Rhinolophus ferrumequinum: one gene and its partner. The protein of the gene in region 2 interacts with the protein of the main gene of each other region in a biochemical or structural test. Links are inferred from orthologs where the notes say so. Each region holds a gene or a part of one and is shown on either strand. Other genes may lie near its edges.

Evidence for each region.
Region 1: the proteins of SPTBN2 (region 2) and ACTR1A form a complex in vitro, tested with the Homo sapiens proteins (2 studies listed by BioGRID). The link is inferred for Rhinolophus ferrumequinum from reciprocal best matches to the Homo sapiens genes SPTBN2 and ACTR1A.

What each region holds. Positions count from the first base shown.
Region 1 is NC_046299.1:22,536,068-22,544,033, reverse strand, and holds the start of ACTR1A (alpha-centractin), read right to left. Parts: upstream 3,104-7,966; 5' UTR 2,998-3,103; coding exon 2,950-2,997; intron 2,932-2,949; exon of another isoform or gene 2,301-2,931; intron 1-2,300. Other genes in the region: SUFU (suppressor of fused homolog), read left to right, coding at 4,820-5,001. UniProt on the Homo sapiens protein: Part of the ACTR1A/ACTB filament around which the dynactin complex is built. The dynactin multiprotein complex activates the molecular motor dynein for ultra-processive transport along microtubules.
Region 2 is NC_046294.1:5,299,750-5,306,753, reverse strand, and holds the start of SPTBN2 (spectrin beta chain, non-erythrocytic 2), read right to left. Parts: upstream 3,035-7,004; 5' UTR 2,899-3,034; coding exon 2,721-2,898; intron 601-2,720; coding exon 449-600; intron 8-448; coding exon 1-7. UniProt on the Homo sapiens protein: Probably plays an important role in neuronal membrane skeleton.

The DNA of each region.
Region 1 (7,966 bases), on a different chromosome or scaffold from region 2:
TAAAAAGGGGGTTGAAGCAGCATAACATCTCTCCAAAACAGTGGAACTCTTATTAATGAACTTGTAAAGATCTGATACTGTGCTTGCATTTAGGCTCACATAGTCACAAAGACTTTTAAGATAGACAGTTTTAAGTATGTTGATCCATTTTAGGACAGAACTTAACCTTTGAGATCTTAGCAAAGACCTGAGCTTTAGAATAAACATAGTAATCTAATCAAAGTGTGGTGGTCCACAAAATGTCCTCCCGGAGCTGTCCTCCTCTTGTATTATCGTGTTGTGTTGTATTGTGTTGTATGCCTTTGGAAAGAATAACTTATGTTTAGTTTTTAAAAATCACTCTATTGTCATTAAAACACAGGCAAGTACACCGCCCCCTCACTCCCCTCCATTTTTCTCATTAAATTCTGATGAATTGGTTTGGTGCCAGAATAGGATGAAAGGAGTGGTCAACAATTGTCTTAATACTGGGAAAGATTGTGAACTCAATAACGAGGCTCTTCCCTCTCTTCCCTGCTTTCTTTGTTCTCCTTTATTTTAATTACACTCTTCTTAGCCCAGAAACAAAATTGTAGCCATATGTTAACCTATGGAGATGTTAAACCTGCTAAGATACATTATTCTCACAATATATAATTGCCTCAAATATTTAAAATGATTTTTCTTATCCACCTTTCACTTTGAAACAAACTCTCTAAATGGCAAACAGCAAGAACTACCGAAGGCCCCAAATATAAAAATGTGGCAGATGCTCAGTAAACCCTAATGGGACAATTACTTAAGTTTCTCCTACTTCACCGATTGGCAGAATTATTGGCATAATAAAGGAAATGCTTTCCTAGAGAAAAAAAACAAGTTGATTCTTTAAACCTTAACAATGAAAATGCACCACTACCTTAATGAATTTCAAATACATTACCAAGAAAGGGAAAGGAGAAACTAAGAAGCATTAGCCTAAGTGATATTAAAGAAAATGAGGGGGAGATTGAACTTCTGCCCAATAATTCAAGAAGCAGATTTGGTGGGATGGACACACTGCTTCTTCATGGCTGATGAAAAAAAGGAGCTAATTTCTTTTTCAAATTATGAAGAAGGCAGATGCAGCACACACAAACAAGCTGAAGACAGAAATAGTGGTTTCTGAAAAATCAACGTCAAGAACAAGGAGTCCTACTCAACCCTGTGCAGTAACTAACTAGGCTGCCCCACCCCATCCTTTATTTAGGGACATCATTGTTACTGTGATAGAGATATTTAGTCATTCATCCACCTACCCATCAATGCAATGAAAAAACACTGAGTACTCAGTGATGCCTGAACATAGGTACTCTGGTGTGTGGAAGGAGGTGGGAAAGGGGAAAGTATTAAAAAATAAAGGGATACCATCTTTTCCCACAAGGATTTAATAGTCTAGTGAGTGAAACAAACAAACAAACAAAATCCTCTCCAAAATGATTTGTCTCATTGAACTCAACTTCTTGCTTTTCAAGGCAGAAGCCATACTCCTGAAGAGAGGGAAAGCTAACAATAAAAAAAAGCACCCTTTTTTGAAAAAAGTTAGGAACTTGGAACCTGATCTCGATTTGAGTCTTGGCTCCTCAACTCACAAACCTGGTAGTTCGAATACTGTTATTTAACCTCTCCAAGCCTCACTTTCCTGCATAAACTGAGGATAATGATTCCCATCTACCTACCAGAGCTGGAGCTTAAAAGAGATGATGCAAATGAAAAGACCTTGCAATTTACCTAAGGTCCAAGAGGGCTGGATCAACAGAGCAAATCTGACAGTCATCTTAGGAGAGAGGGAACGGGCAGTTTTGCCTCAATGGAGAGATTTAGAAGGGGTACAGAAAAGGTATCAACCAATTTTGGTGGGATCAAACCTTTGGAGGAAAGAAATGCAGTTGTTTTACGATTGTCTCCTTCCGCGCAAAATAAGAGCAATATTTAGATTCTTTTCATTTATCACTATTGATGCTTGGCGTGGGGGAATGGAATAACGGATAAAGCACTGGATTTAGTGCGACCTTGTTTGAAACCTCTTCGCGCTCGTTTTCTCATTTGTAAAACGAGCATCAAACGTCCTGCCTTAACTATGTACCCAGTTTTTGTGAGGATCCAACTTGAAGGTTACGAGTATGTGAAAGCCCTCCATAAGCGCTAGAGAGCCTGGCAAACACTATGTAGGTAAAATTTCCCCCCCAGTAACTAGGCGTTCCAAAGAGGAAGGTACCTCCCTGCTTGCTTTGTCACTCTCCCTTCTTCTCGAACTTTATTAACGCTATAATTTACAATCACAGAAATAACTGAAATCTGATGGCCATTTCTGACACCACATTCTTGGGCCCCACCCAGATACACCGCCAAGCAACCCGGCCAGCTCCAGACCAAAGGAAACTTAGCCCTTCTCCACCCGCGGACCGGCCCTAGCCCATCAGGCCCTACCACTGAGAGTTCCGACAGCCAATCCCCACAGTCCTCGTGCACTGCCCCGCCCCTTAAAGAGAAACGCTTTGACGGCCCGGAAGAACGGCAAGGGCGCAAGCCAATCACTGCAGAGGGCAGCCCTCATCAGGCAAGGCTCAGAGGCGGGGTCATCGGTCAAGATGGACAGCCAGAACAGCCAATAGAGTTATCGGAAACTGGGGAGGGGCGGGTGCCGGGCGCTCACAGAGCGGTTAAGGCCCCTAAGAGTCAAGGGCCCAAGGACCCGGCTCGGACTACAGCTGTTCCCTTAATCCACTCCCAAGTTCTCTATCCCATGGTTGCTGGCCGGCCGCCCTGCGTGCGGTCTATGGGTGGAGGAAGGACGGAGGTAGCGGCGGTTGAACCCGCCTGACAGGCCAGACCAGTGACAAAGAGCCGGCGGCGCAGGCTTGAAAGCCGGGAAGCGATCCCTTCGGGGAGGAGAGCATGAGTCCCTTTAGAGAAATGGAAGACGAAACTCACGTTGTCGATCACAACAGGCTGGTTGGCGATCACATCGTAGGACTCCATGGCAGAGGAATCTCTCCTTCTGAGGAAGGAACTGCCTGCCGGGTCCGCAGCTAGCGCCACTGACGCGCATGCGCAGTCTAGCCGCTGATGCAGGGCGGCCAGGGAGCGGCCAGACCTCGCCTCGGAAGAACTACAACCCCCACGATGTCTTGCACCTGCAGTTAGAGGGCAAGGCAGTTTCGGAGCCCCGCCTAATTTAAGAGACCCATTACCCGGTGTTGCGTTTCCGACGCACAGTACCCTGGGCTTTGTAGTTTCCATAGATAAATACACGGGGATTCAGATTGATGGTTGTATTGCAAGCTTGGATCTGTAGGGATCCCTTTGGAGGGATTCGCAGTGCATGCTGAAGTACTTGTCTGTAGTTCGCTTTGGATTGATCAGTAATTCGTAGATGTTCGGATTTTACAGATCAGTTCTGCCACTCCGCACCACTTCTGGACAATATTAAGGCTACCATGTTTTTATCTGGATCCATAAGATATTAATAAACATCTATGGCCACCACACTCTAATAAAATAAATTTTAATACACACACATACGGGGAAGGACATATTCCCAGAACAAAGGAAATAAATTGCATAAAATTTGCTTTTTAGGAAAAAAATAACAACACATTTTCATTGCTTTTTGCATTTTTTCCTGGATAGGTATAAACTTTGCAACAGGCTAACACTGGTCTGAAGACTGGCATTTGGAATTATTGGTAGAGAATTGACATTGATGAGTGAGAAAATGGAGGTGAAAAGTCACTGCTTTCAAATGATTTCAGTGCATTTTTCTCTAGATTATTTCCTCCGCTGCTTCAAGTTGCAGGGATGCTTGTAGTCAATAGCACTGGTAGCCTGGACTCCTTTCTATTCGTCTTTTGGAATTTCTTCAAGATCATTGAGTGGGAGATATTACTTTTTGAAAAGTTATTGTAAACAAGAAAATAATTCCCAACCCGGTGCCTTAGAAATTAAAAATTCTCCCAGTTACAGAGAGTCAAAGTAATGGAGAATGGCAGGCCCATAGTAGATAATGAACATTGGTGTTCCTCAAGACAATCTGCATATCTCTGCCTAAAACACAACAAAGAAGAGATTGTCATTAACATCTATTAAATAATTACGAAGTTTCTTTAATTGATCCTAGTTTACCAAACTCTTGTTACTTTCCATCAGAATTCCATAATAGGTATTTTGACATACGACCCCTGAGTTTGGTGGTGTTGGTGTCAGTCAATACGATTAGTGGACATTCCAAGGTGTAGGAAACATTCAGATTTAAATCTATTTAAACTAGTGCCAAATGGAGGAATGAATTAATCTATTGTCAAACTTATGTTTAAATCCTTGTTAGCGTGTCACCCGACCAGTGATAAGCTCTTCGTCAGCGCACTTCCCAGTGCTTATGTGGGACCCTAGCACCTCAAAAGGATGGCTCCACATCTGTATTTAAACCTGGGCTCCTCCTAACACTAGGGGGAGGCCAAGAGCCTTGGGATACCCCTAACACAGGGAGAGGGAGGCGGGACCTATTGTCAAGGCACGCAGTCCCACGTGTGACTGGCACAGACATTAGCCAATAGAATCTGGGATAGGGCGCGCCGGTGCCCCGCCTCCTTGAGCGTCCAGCGGCCCCCCCAGGCAACCTCTGGCTATCTCTGCCGCGGCGACGGCCTGGGCGGACGGTGCGCTGTGCGCAGGCGCGAAGCCTAGACCTCGCTGCAGCCCCCATCGCCTAGGGGAGTCGCACCCTCCAGGTTCGCCCGCTGGCGCGTCAGTGCTCTGCCGCTCGTCTGCCCTCCCGGGTTCTCCCAGCGCCCTACGCGCCCGGATGGCGGAGCTGCGGCCTAGCGGCGCCCCCGGCCCCACCGCGCCCCCGGCCCCTGGCCCGACTGCACCTCCGGCCTTCGCCTCGCTGTTCCCTCCGGGACTGCACGCCATCTACGGAGAGTGCCGTCGTCTTTACCCTGACCAGCCGAACCCGCTCCAGGTTACAGCTATCGTCAAGTACTGGTATGCCCTGGGCCGCGCGGGGACACCAACTGGGCAGGCTGGGCAGGGTTAAAGCACCAGGGACGAAGTAATATTCGGAGGAGGAGGAGAAGAATGGTTAAAGCACTTGGATGAAGGGCTTCCTGCTGCGAAGGAAGGAGTTGTAAATGGGGACAAAGGGGTTAACGGAGCCTGTGGGTAGCGAAGGGTTAACGAGGGCGGGGAGGTTGAAGGGTTAACTGGAATTAGGAGAATAGAGTGAATTGGGAGTGTGTAGGAGCTGAGCGGGGAAAGATAGGAGAGTGGGAACTGTAGACGTGGTGAAAGGAGGGGGCGCCTGTAGGGGGTCATTAGTGGGCGAGGGGAAGCCAAGGGGGGGCAGCTGAAGTGGGATGGGGGAGACGAGGCGGGGCCTGGGGAGCATATGAGAGGGCTTTGGAGGAGCGCGGCTGGAGGAGCTGCGAGGGTATGAGACTGCACAGGGTAGGGGTGGGTCTGTGGACTCGGGCTCTCCTGCCGTTTAGAAGAGCAAGTTGTGAGCGTTATGCTTGTGAAGAGATGAGGAGGTCTCCTTTTGATACTTTCCCAATGAACTCAGACATCATATCAGTGCGGTGCTTTGGGGTTTGAAGTTTCACGGAACAACTTTTCCTGATAAACTTTCTGCTTACTCTGCACAGTTTTTTTCCTGCAGAGCTTCCTCTGCCTCTGCAGCTGCTTTGCTTTAAGACATTGGCTAGAACAGAGGTAGGGTCAGGGAGATCCATGATTTGGCTGAGGATGGAAGGGGACCACAGTAAATGCTGAAGACCTGGGACTTGGACAGGGAGGAAAGAAGGCAGTGAGATGTTGAGGAGCTTCCTGGCCACAAGCTTCAGGATTTAGGAAGCAGTTTCTGAGAGAAGCTGAGAGTAACCCCCAAGTAGTTGTTAAAGATCAGACCTGTTTACAGATGGGCTACCCTTGGAGTAGAAATGGTCTTTTTCAGTTTCTCATTCCTGTTTGCAACCTATTTCTTCCTGCAACCTTTGGGCAAAACTGGTGTTATGGGGACTGTTGGAAAGGGTCTGTCTTCGTGGTCTTTCTCAACCAAAAGTTGACGGAGGAATTGGTTGAATCTGTCCAGAACCACATTCATGCGGGCACTGTATTAGATGACTCCCTTCATTGAGTCCTGGAAGACTGTTCAGGCAGCTGCTTGCGGTGTGGCCTAAAGGGCAGATAGACTCAAAGAGGGAAGTGCAAAGAGTGGATGCCTTGCTGGTTACCTCTCCCTTTAGAACTGAGTCTCCTCCGTGACAACATCTTACTTCCTCCGGAGATGGCAGAAGCTAGGCTATAGGACTTAGGCCAGCTAGCTCCCGGTGTAGACGGGAGCATGTAAAGAGGCTGACAGTGTGAAGGGCCTGGGGACCTGCCACCTGCGCCTTAGGTAGGCCATGGGGAGCAACCTGCCTCTGTCTGGTAGCCAGGAGGAGGTGTGGCCAGCGATACAGTTCTTTCTGGCAAGCAAACTGTTCTTTGGTTGAGAGAAGTTTTTGAAGAGAGCTTCTGACTGAATCACAGCTCTTGATAACTTAATCACCCATTCAAATCGCACCTCTATACTTAAATATGTATTGTGATGAACTATATTGGATTGTGTCATGAGGAAAGTGGGCCTGGTTCTGCCATGCTGTTTGTTCAGGCCTCATTTGAGTGTAAGGAGAAATCCACTGACAGACTTGGGCAACTTTTTATGTCACCCATGTGGCCAGGAGGATAGTGTTGTATGGAAAAGGTATTGAAGCACATGCAAAGGACTAAGACTGGTTTGGGCAACTGTTTTTTTTCCTTCTTGCTGCAAGCTTGTTAACCAGCCAGGACTTATCTTTAGATGGACTAACATGTAATGACAAATAACGACGATTTACAGCACTCTGTGAAATTAGAAATGCTGCCTAGACGCCGAAAAATATGAGGGAACAGCTCAGTGACTAGTTCTTTCTAAGGTTTGGCGGGGTTTGCATAATTAAGATCCTGAAATGAATTCATCGATGTCCCTCATGTTAGAGATACCACAAGGCCTCTTCAGTTCTCATGGCAGGATGATGGACCCAGGCTGCCTGAGTCTGGCTGTGGTCCAGGGTACCTTGGTATTCCTTTTCTCGTGACAAAAGGGTGGCTCTTTGGCTAGTGGCCTCTAGCTAGCAAGGACGCTAAAAGCCAAGACTGTAGTGAGCAGGGAGCGGACGCAGAGGGGCAGAGCCTGTACCTTGCGGTCACTCCAGTCCTGCAACTGCCTTGGGGAGTGAAGTCAGGTGTTCAAGGTATGAAGTTGAGGGATGCTCTGGGTCCTTGGATAACATCTTTTTTCTAAATGCACAATACGATTATTTTCTACATGCTCATGGCCTACCCATCCTGTCTCTGAGTAAGTAGAACAGAAGAACACTCTGCACTTGGAGACTAGATTGATTTTGTCTGATTCTTGGTTATTCCCTGCAGTTGGAGTTTTAAGGTAAAACCTCTCTCCTTGATGCAATACCTCCTGGGACACTTGGCCAGAAAGAGGGCTGCAGTAGTGTGGCAGATGAAGCACAGAACGGGGAATGCAGTTTTCCCACTTGTTGCTGGATGGACCAAGGCTGGAGGAGGGTCAGGACTGGGAATTTGCAGTAGGAAACTGGAGCAGATATGGAGCCTGTCGTCACTTCCATCTATTCTGGGGTTCTGCAGCTATCATGGGGTACTTCCAGGGATAGCTACCCTTTTCTTTCCTCCCTCCCCCGACAAACCTCCCTAAATCTGACTGGTTGTGGGATTAGTCAATTGATTTTGCAAAATCAAAGTTAAAGAAAGATATGGAGATTTGTCCCTAAGCTATTTGTAGTGACTTTCTTACATGTTCTATAAATAACTTAGCTTTCCTAGCAGAGAATAAGGATTTCTACAAAGGCAAATAATATCCTGACAAAAGAGGATGAAACCAGACCTACTGGTTTTA
Region 2 (7,004 bases):
GCTTTGGCTGTTGGGGGACAGGGGACACAAAGGCATGGGACCGTGGGCCTCCTCCTTCCTCCTTCCCTCCTACACCCCCAGGGCCCTGCTTCGCACACCTTCCCCAGCCTCTCCCTCAGGAACACGGGGACAGCCCCAGGGTTGGGCCCAAGTTCACAGAGCCAAAGCTGAGGTTGCAGAGGAGGCTGAGGCCAGATTAAGATTCCCAAGGGAATTAATTGCTCAAAGAGTGGGTGGGAAAAGAAATGTTTTCAATGGGACTACTGTTCCTGTCTCCATGAAGCAATGTTCCCGTTTAATCCCACAGCAAAACCTCTCAAAATGACACTGTCCTCTGAGCAGGGGGCAGCCGCTGCTTTCCGCTCTGCGGTATCACTCTTCTGTCCCGTGGCATGTCCTCTTGACCACTGTTCCTCAGGCTACCCCGTTCCTCGTGACCACAGCTCACCAGTGTCTCTCCCGAGAGCACCTCGAGGAGCCTCAGCAGGTTACGTCCATCCCGGAGGTCGCTGTACAGGTCTCCCACCCGACATGTCACCCGGGCCAGGTGTGAGTTCACCCACTTGGTGAAAGTTTTCTTCTGCACGGCTTCTCGCTCATCTGTGGTGGCAACATGGAGTTATTTCTGTCCTTCAAGTACAGTGTTTGCATCTGAACACCAGTTGGTGGGGTTGGGGGGTATCTGAGAGTCTGAAGTGAGGTCTGGGGAGGAGAAGGGGGAAGGAAGATGGCCAAAAGGAAAATGCCTAACTTAGAAAGCCGGGAAATAGAGAACTTAGAATAAGCTCACAAACAAGGTACAGAACAAAATGAGAGCGAGAAACAGGTTTTAAGAAGAAAGAATGGAAGAAATTAGAAGCGGTGGAACATGCAAGGAAGGGCTGGGATTTGGGATGAGGGTGCTGTCACGATAGTGGTGAAATGCTGTGACTTCATCCATCAGCACCTCACGTTCCTCATCTATAAAATGGGCCTATTACTTTCTTCTTCAGTGCGTCATTGTATTGATTAAATGAGACATGCGTGTATAATGTCTGGCATGAAATGGCTCCTCGGTGGCTTTCTGTTCTTCAGGTATGATCTAACCCCAAGGAAAGAGCGAGAGTCACTCAGGCCCAGCCAGTGGTATGGCTCTTCTCCAAAGGGGAGGGTGTGGACTTAAATTACGCAGCAGCTCTTCCAAGTGGCCAATGGAAGGATGCGATATTATAGAGGCTGCAGGCCACCTGAGTCAGCTTATTCTCCCGGGATAATTTATAGAAAAGATGGGCTTTTCTCGGGTGGGTTCATTCAGTGGGCTTCAGGGTGCATCCCAGGACAGCTACATTCCAACGCTGAGAACTAAAACCAGGTCTTGAAGTTGGGAACAGGGAAAAGAGTGAGCCCAAGAAACGGGGTGTGTGGTAGGGGTGGGGCAGAATTAGGTGCCAATCATCTCAAAAAACATGAGGGAACGTCCTGTTGCCTTGTCCACAGGGGGATCCGCTGCTGAAGGGATGCTCTTAGGTTCCAGAGGAAAAGAAAAATTAAAAATGTTATGAATGACAAAGTGAGGGAAGAGGCTTAGGCCATTGGACGCTGCTCTGGTCACCAAGATTTCTGCCAGTTCTCCCCAGAGGAGCCCAGAGCAAGGAGCCGGTCCCAGTAGTCAGGGCCCGGAGAGTCACTTTTGTTTCCTTTGTAGCACCAGCATCTCAGAAACCGAAAAGACTCATCCCTTAATCTCACATTCCTACGAACCTCACCCACGAAACATAGTGACACACCCAGGTCTAGTCCTGTCTTTACCTCCAACCTCTGAACCCGGGCCAACTCAGGGTCCTAGCAACTGTACGGGACGGCCTGTTGCTCTGCAGCACCTGCGGAACCAAGGGTGCCTTTGGGCCTCCTTTCAGGGATTTCCTGGATCCCTGGGGACTGTCCTGATTGATGCCAGGCACACGGGGGTGAGGTCATTTTGGCACACAGGTAGAATAAAAGGGGAAGACATGGCAACAGTGGCAGCTAGAAGACAAGTGTGCAAAACCAAGCACTGAGACAAAGGATAACTTCACAAGGCCTCCACACATCCATAGACTCCCCCAACACACACGCAAAACACAGTGACTCCCAGAAATACACTGACAGATTGGTGCCAGGTGAACACATGCCTGCTCAGACATACCTGAGCCTGTCTATACCAACTCCCTTTGACACATTCCCCGGTTCCCACACATACTGCCTCCTCACACATTTAGACACCCACTCAGAATCCCAGGGTGACACAAACAAGCCCTGGGCCCCTCAGCCTCCTGGCTCACTCCCCTTCTGTCCTTCTCCAACTATCCTAGCAGGCCTTCCTCTCCAAAGCCACTGACAGTGAACTATGTCAGTGAGACTGCGCGGCAGGCCTCCCGGTTTGCCGACACAGACGCTGCTTTCTCAGCCTCGCCCGCTGCCTGCTGCCTCCATGCTCATTGCATTCTCTGCAACACACACGCTCTACCGCACCCAGCAGGGCCTTGCGGTCACACCCACTCACGCTCTCACACAGTTCCTTCCAGTGGGTCCAAGCCTTTCCTGATGCTGTCAGCATCCATGAATTTTCTGGCTACTTATATAACTATTCCCTTGGCACACAGTCTCCCAACGCAAATGTTCCACTCTGTGATCTTGGCTCTGGCTCCTCTCCCACACCCCCAGACCCCCTCTCTCTACTCCCCTCTGCCCGCGGAGCTCACCTTGAAGCTGTTTGAAGCGTCCATCCAGCACGCTGGCGTACTGAGCGGGGTTGATGAAGGCAGCAGGTGAGAGCAGGAGACCCCCGGGGTTCTGAGCCCCTTCCACAGCCTCATAATAAAACTCACCAGCCCCATTCAGGCTGTGCCCGTGCACCCTGCTCACTCCATTCCCATTCATGATACCTGTTGCCTTCTACACAGCCTGGGGCCCAGAGTCCATGCTCTGCCCACACCGGGCCAGGCGGGAGGTTCTGCTTCCCCTAGAGCCGGGGATCCTGAGAGGCTGGGGTCCCGGGTGGGGGGCTGGTTCAAAGATGGTAGAAGTTTCGAGGAGTGGGAAAAAAGGAGTTACGGGACGTCTGAGCTCCTGAGCTCCGGGACAAGTAGCAGGGCACACCTGGCTGTGGAGAGGAGACAGAGGCAGCTCCAGACAAACAGGTTGGACAGTGCCGGGGGAGGGGTGGGAGGCGGAGCCCGGCCGGCTGGGGCAGGGCCAGGCCCTGCGGGGGCAGAGGAGGCAACTGCAAGCGCCTCTGAGACCTGCCCATCAGGCTCTAAGTTGCCTAAGAGTACAGTAAAGCCAAGAGAGGTTTCCCCAAAACAAAGTCCTGCTTCCCAAAGGCTTCCAGGAGCGACAAGGATGGCTCCTCTCTGGGTGACTCCGGGAGACCCCTCTTTTGGACATGGGCTTTGATCCCCAGTTCGGAGAGCAGAGAAAGAGAAATTGCTTAGGTCCCCTTATCTGTGAAATGGGTGTTTGTTATCCCTCCCACCGTTTGTCAGCACCTCCAGGCCCGCCCCTTCCCTGCCACTGGGCCCACTAGGCCCTCCCCAGCCAGGCCATCTCAGGCCCCCAGCACACCCACTGCTGGGCACATCTATCCAATTCCCCTCCTGCTTCTCTCTGGGCTCCAGCTCTTGTCCTTTACAGCCTACTGTTGCCCATCTCCTGTTTTCATTCACTCACACCTACTGGTGTAAGGCCCAGCATGAGACAAAGCCAGCACAGAGATGCCTCTTCAGAGAACCCCATTCTTGAAGATAAACACCTATTGACAGCGCAGGGCGCACAGACACAGCAGCAGTCCTGGGTCTTACGTGTCGTGTGCACACAGACATCATGACAGTTCTAGAGGCTACATGCATCCAAACTCAGGGCACCAGGGAAACTTCCCCCCAAAGAGATGACATTCTCCATAACCCACGCCTTCTGTCTTTTCTCATCTATGATGAGTATTTCATAAGCCAGCCTAATCCCAACCAGAAGGACAGAGAAGCCCAGGAGAAGACGGTAGGGTTCCCTAGAAGCTATGGCCAACACATGGGGGTCCTCATGTGGTGGGCTGGCTGAAAAGAATTACCTGGTGAACTTAAAAAACCCAACTGATTTCTGGACCACGTGTCCAAAGATTCTAATTCAGCGTGTCCAGGAAGGGGCTTCAGAGCCCATGTTTATAAAAATGGCCCTGGGTGATCCTGTAAAAAGTGTGGCCAGGTTTGGGAACTACCCCCTTCAGTGTATCCCTTCTTCCAGGAGGCCACCCCACCCACACTGGGAGTGCCACCTCTCAGGAGGGAATAAGTGGGATCTCTCCCAGTGACTGGACTGGGAGGCCGGCAGGTCAGTGGAAAAGACGAGGGTGGGATGGAGGAGGGTAGTCAGATAGAGTGGGTGGCCTTGGGGTGTGTGAGTGACTCAGTCCCACACCAGCCCTGGTGGTGTCAGGTGGCAGCTGCACTCTTGTTGCCATGACAACTCCTCCCGGAACGCAGGGAGGCCCGTCCAACGGGTTTGTTTGTGCTCAGAGGAGCTGAAGGGGAGAGCCCAGGCCATAGGGGAGGGCAGGGGCCGGGCAGAGAGCAAACCCCGGAGAATGGGCAGCTGCAGAAACCAGTGGAGGGTGGAGGGTACCCGCTTCAGGGAACAGGTAGAAGAAATAATGGGAGGAACAGGCGGCAGGTGGAAGGAACAGGTGGGGAGGGAAAGGAGAGGCTAATGGGCTGGGAGGGAGAACAAGTGTGAGAAATGACAGCGGAAATCGAGGAAGACACAGGGGATGAACGGCAAAGGAAAGGTGGGTGGAAACAGAATGGCAAAAGTAAGAGTGCCAAAGAATGAAGGACATGACTCAGGGACAGAGGCCAGAAGTCAGCTGAGTGCAGAGGGGAACACAGCTGAGTCCCGGGATCAGCATGGCTTCTCTATGCTGGGCGGAAGGAAGCCGGGGGACGTTCTGGATTGCATGAAGTCTGTTCTTGAGGCTGGCGTTGGGGATGAGGGGCTGGATAGGGTGATTTCCCACGTGAGTGCAGCAGCTTAGAAAGAAAGTTGGTCTTCCGACAAAGTTAAAGGAGTCCTCACAACTAGGGCCCGTCCCCGGTGTCCTCACCACCTACCCTGGCCCTCCCCTGATCTCACCTGCCAGGGCCTTAATGCGTGACCTTTCAAAGAGACGGGCTGAGCTGCTGTCATTGTCCCAGTCTGAGTCAGGCAGGTCCCAGCGGTTGTTGATGTCACTGTACTGGCCCTGGATCTCCAAATTGTCGAAGTCTGTGGGTGACAGCGTGCTGCTCATGGTGGTGGGTGGCCTCCTCCTCCTGTAAGGGGGAACGTAGCAGGTAAGGAGCGTCTCGGGGCCACGCAGCCCGCCGCTCGCCATGTCCTTCTGTCCTCCTACCCTAGATCTGCTCCGCTCTCCTGAAGGCCAAAGATTGTGGTTGGTTTTTCTGTCAATGGAAATCAGCCCCCAGCGGGAGAGGGGAAACCATGGTGGGGAAGCACACGTACAGGATGCACATGGACCGAAGTACCTCAGAGCCCCAGAGTCCCAAGCAGAGAGGAACCGTGAACAGTGAATAGAGCCGTGGCTAAAAGTGGTGGTGGCCTCCAGTGCAGTTCAGGACAGCAGCGTGTAAACCAGGGAATGCAGGAAGCATGGGGCCCCTTGGTTAGTAATGAGTATAAACCAGAGTTATTTTATTCCTAGCTTCCACAAACTGTTCTGAGCCCCTCCTCTATACCAGATGGCCTGCTATACCCTGGAGACTTGAGATGAAAAGGCCGAGATCCTGCAGAGCTAACACGCATCTCTGATACACCAGGAAGACGGATGCGCTGTTAGGTATGTACGGATACGGTGCCCAGGAGCTCAGAGGAGGACACAGTGCGATTCTCTCCCCTTTGCTTCCTTTCGTTTGTCATAGGGACTACTTAATAGGTGTTCAATAAAGGTCAGCGGTGACATGTGTCCTCACCATTTACATGCATTATCTCATCATAACCTATGGGGCGAGGGTCCACTATCATCCCCATTTCATAGATGAGGAAGCGGCACCGTGTAAGTTTAGTCACAGTTCAAGGTCACGTGGCTGGAAGGAGCAGAGCAGGGTTTTGAAGTGAGGTTCTTTCTGACTTTGGGGGACAAGCTCTTAATCACAACATTTACCCCCTCCTCGAACTTCCTGGAGTCCCTTTAAGCTCCCTGGGGAGAGATCAGCACCCATGGCTCCCTTCTAGGGACCAAGTTTTGGAAATCAGGACCAGGTACGCTTGCCAGCGTTACTTACGACTCTAGTTACGCAAACAAACTCTGTCCTCAAAACTCACAAATGAGCTTTAGATTAGCTGCTAAGGATTTAAAAACAACAACAACAACAAAAAAAACCTCTACTGTCCGAAGTTCTTGTGTAATTTAGCATTCATTCAGCAGCCATCCAAGGGAATGGAGGGAGCTGGATCTGTAACTTTATCTGCACCCCAAATTCTGCATTTCTCATTTTCCTAGTACCTCTCAAACACAAAGATATATTTTCATCCTTAGCTCCACTTCCTAGGGTCAGGGCTATGATCTTGGCATCTCTGGTTCTGGGAAGGAGGTACAGAGAAGCTCTTGTGTAGTTTTGGGGAAGGAAGAAGGAATGGGTGGTGAGCTGTGGGTGGTTAGGAAAGTGCGTTCCCATGGGCATGCAAAGACAGAACTTGGCTTCTGTCATTAACTGGTTCCACGAAGCTGAATCTGACCCACGTGAAGGCCAGGATTGCCTGCCCCTCCCTTCTCCCAAAGAGAAACACGTAAGGACTTCCCTGGAGGTAGCATGGATGACGTACAAGAGAGCTAAGGTCTCAGGTTCCCTGATTTAAGCTTTCACTCCTGTAACAGGAAAGAGAGCTTAATTTCCACGAGGCCCAAGACTACTTTCTGTTTAAAATCCATCATTTCCCTTAGTCCCCAACAGATTCTTTGAATTTGCTCTGTAAATATTTACATAAAAATAAACTCTAGG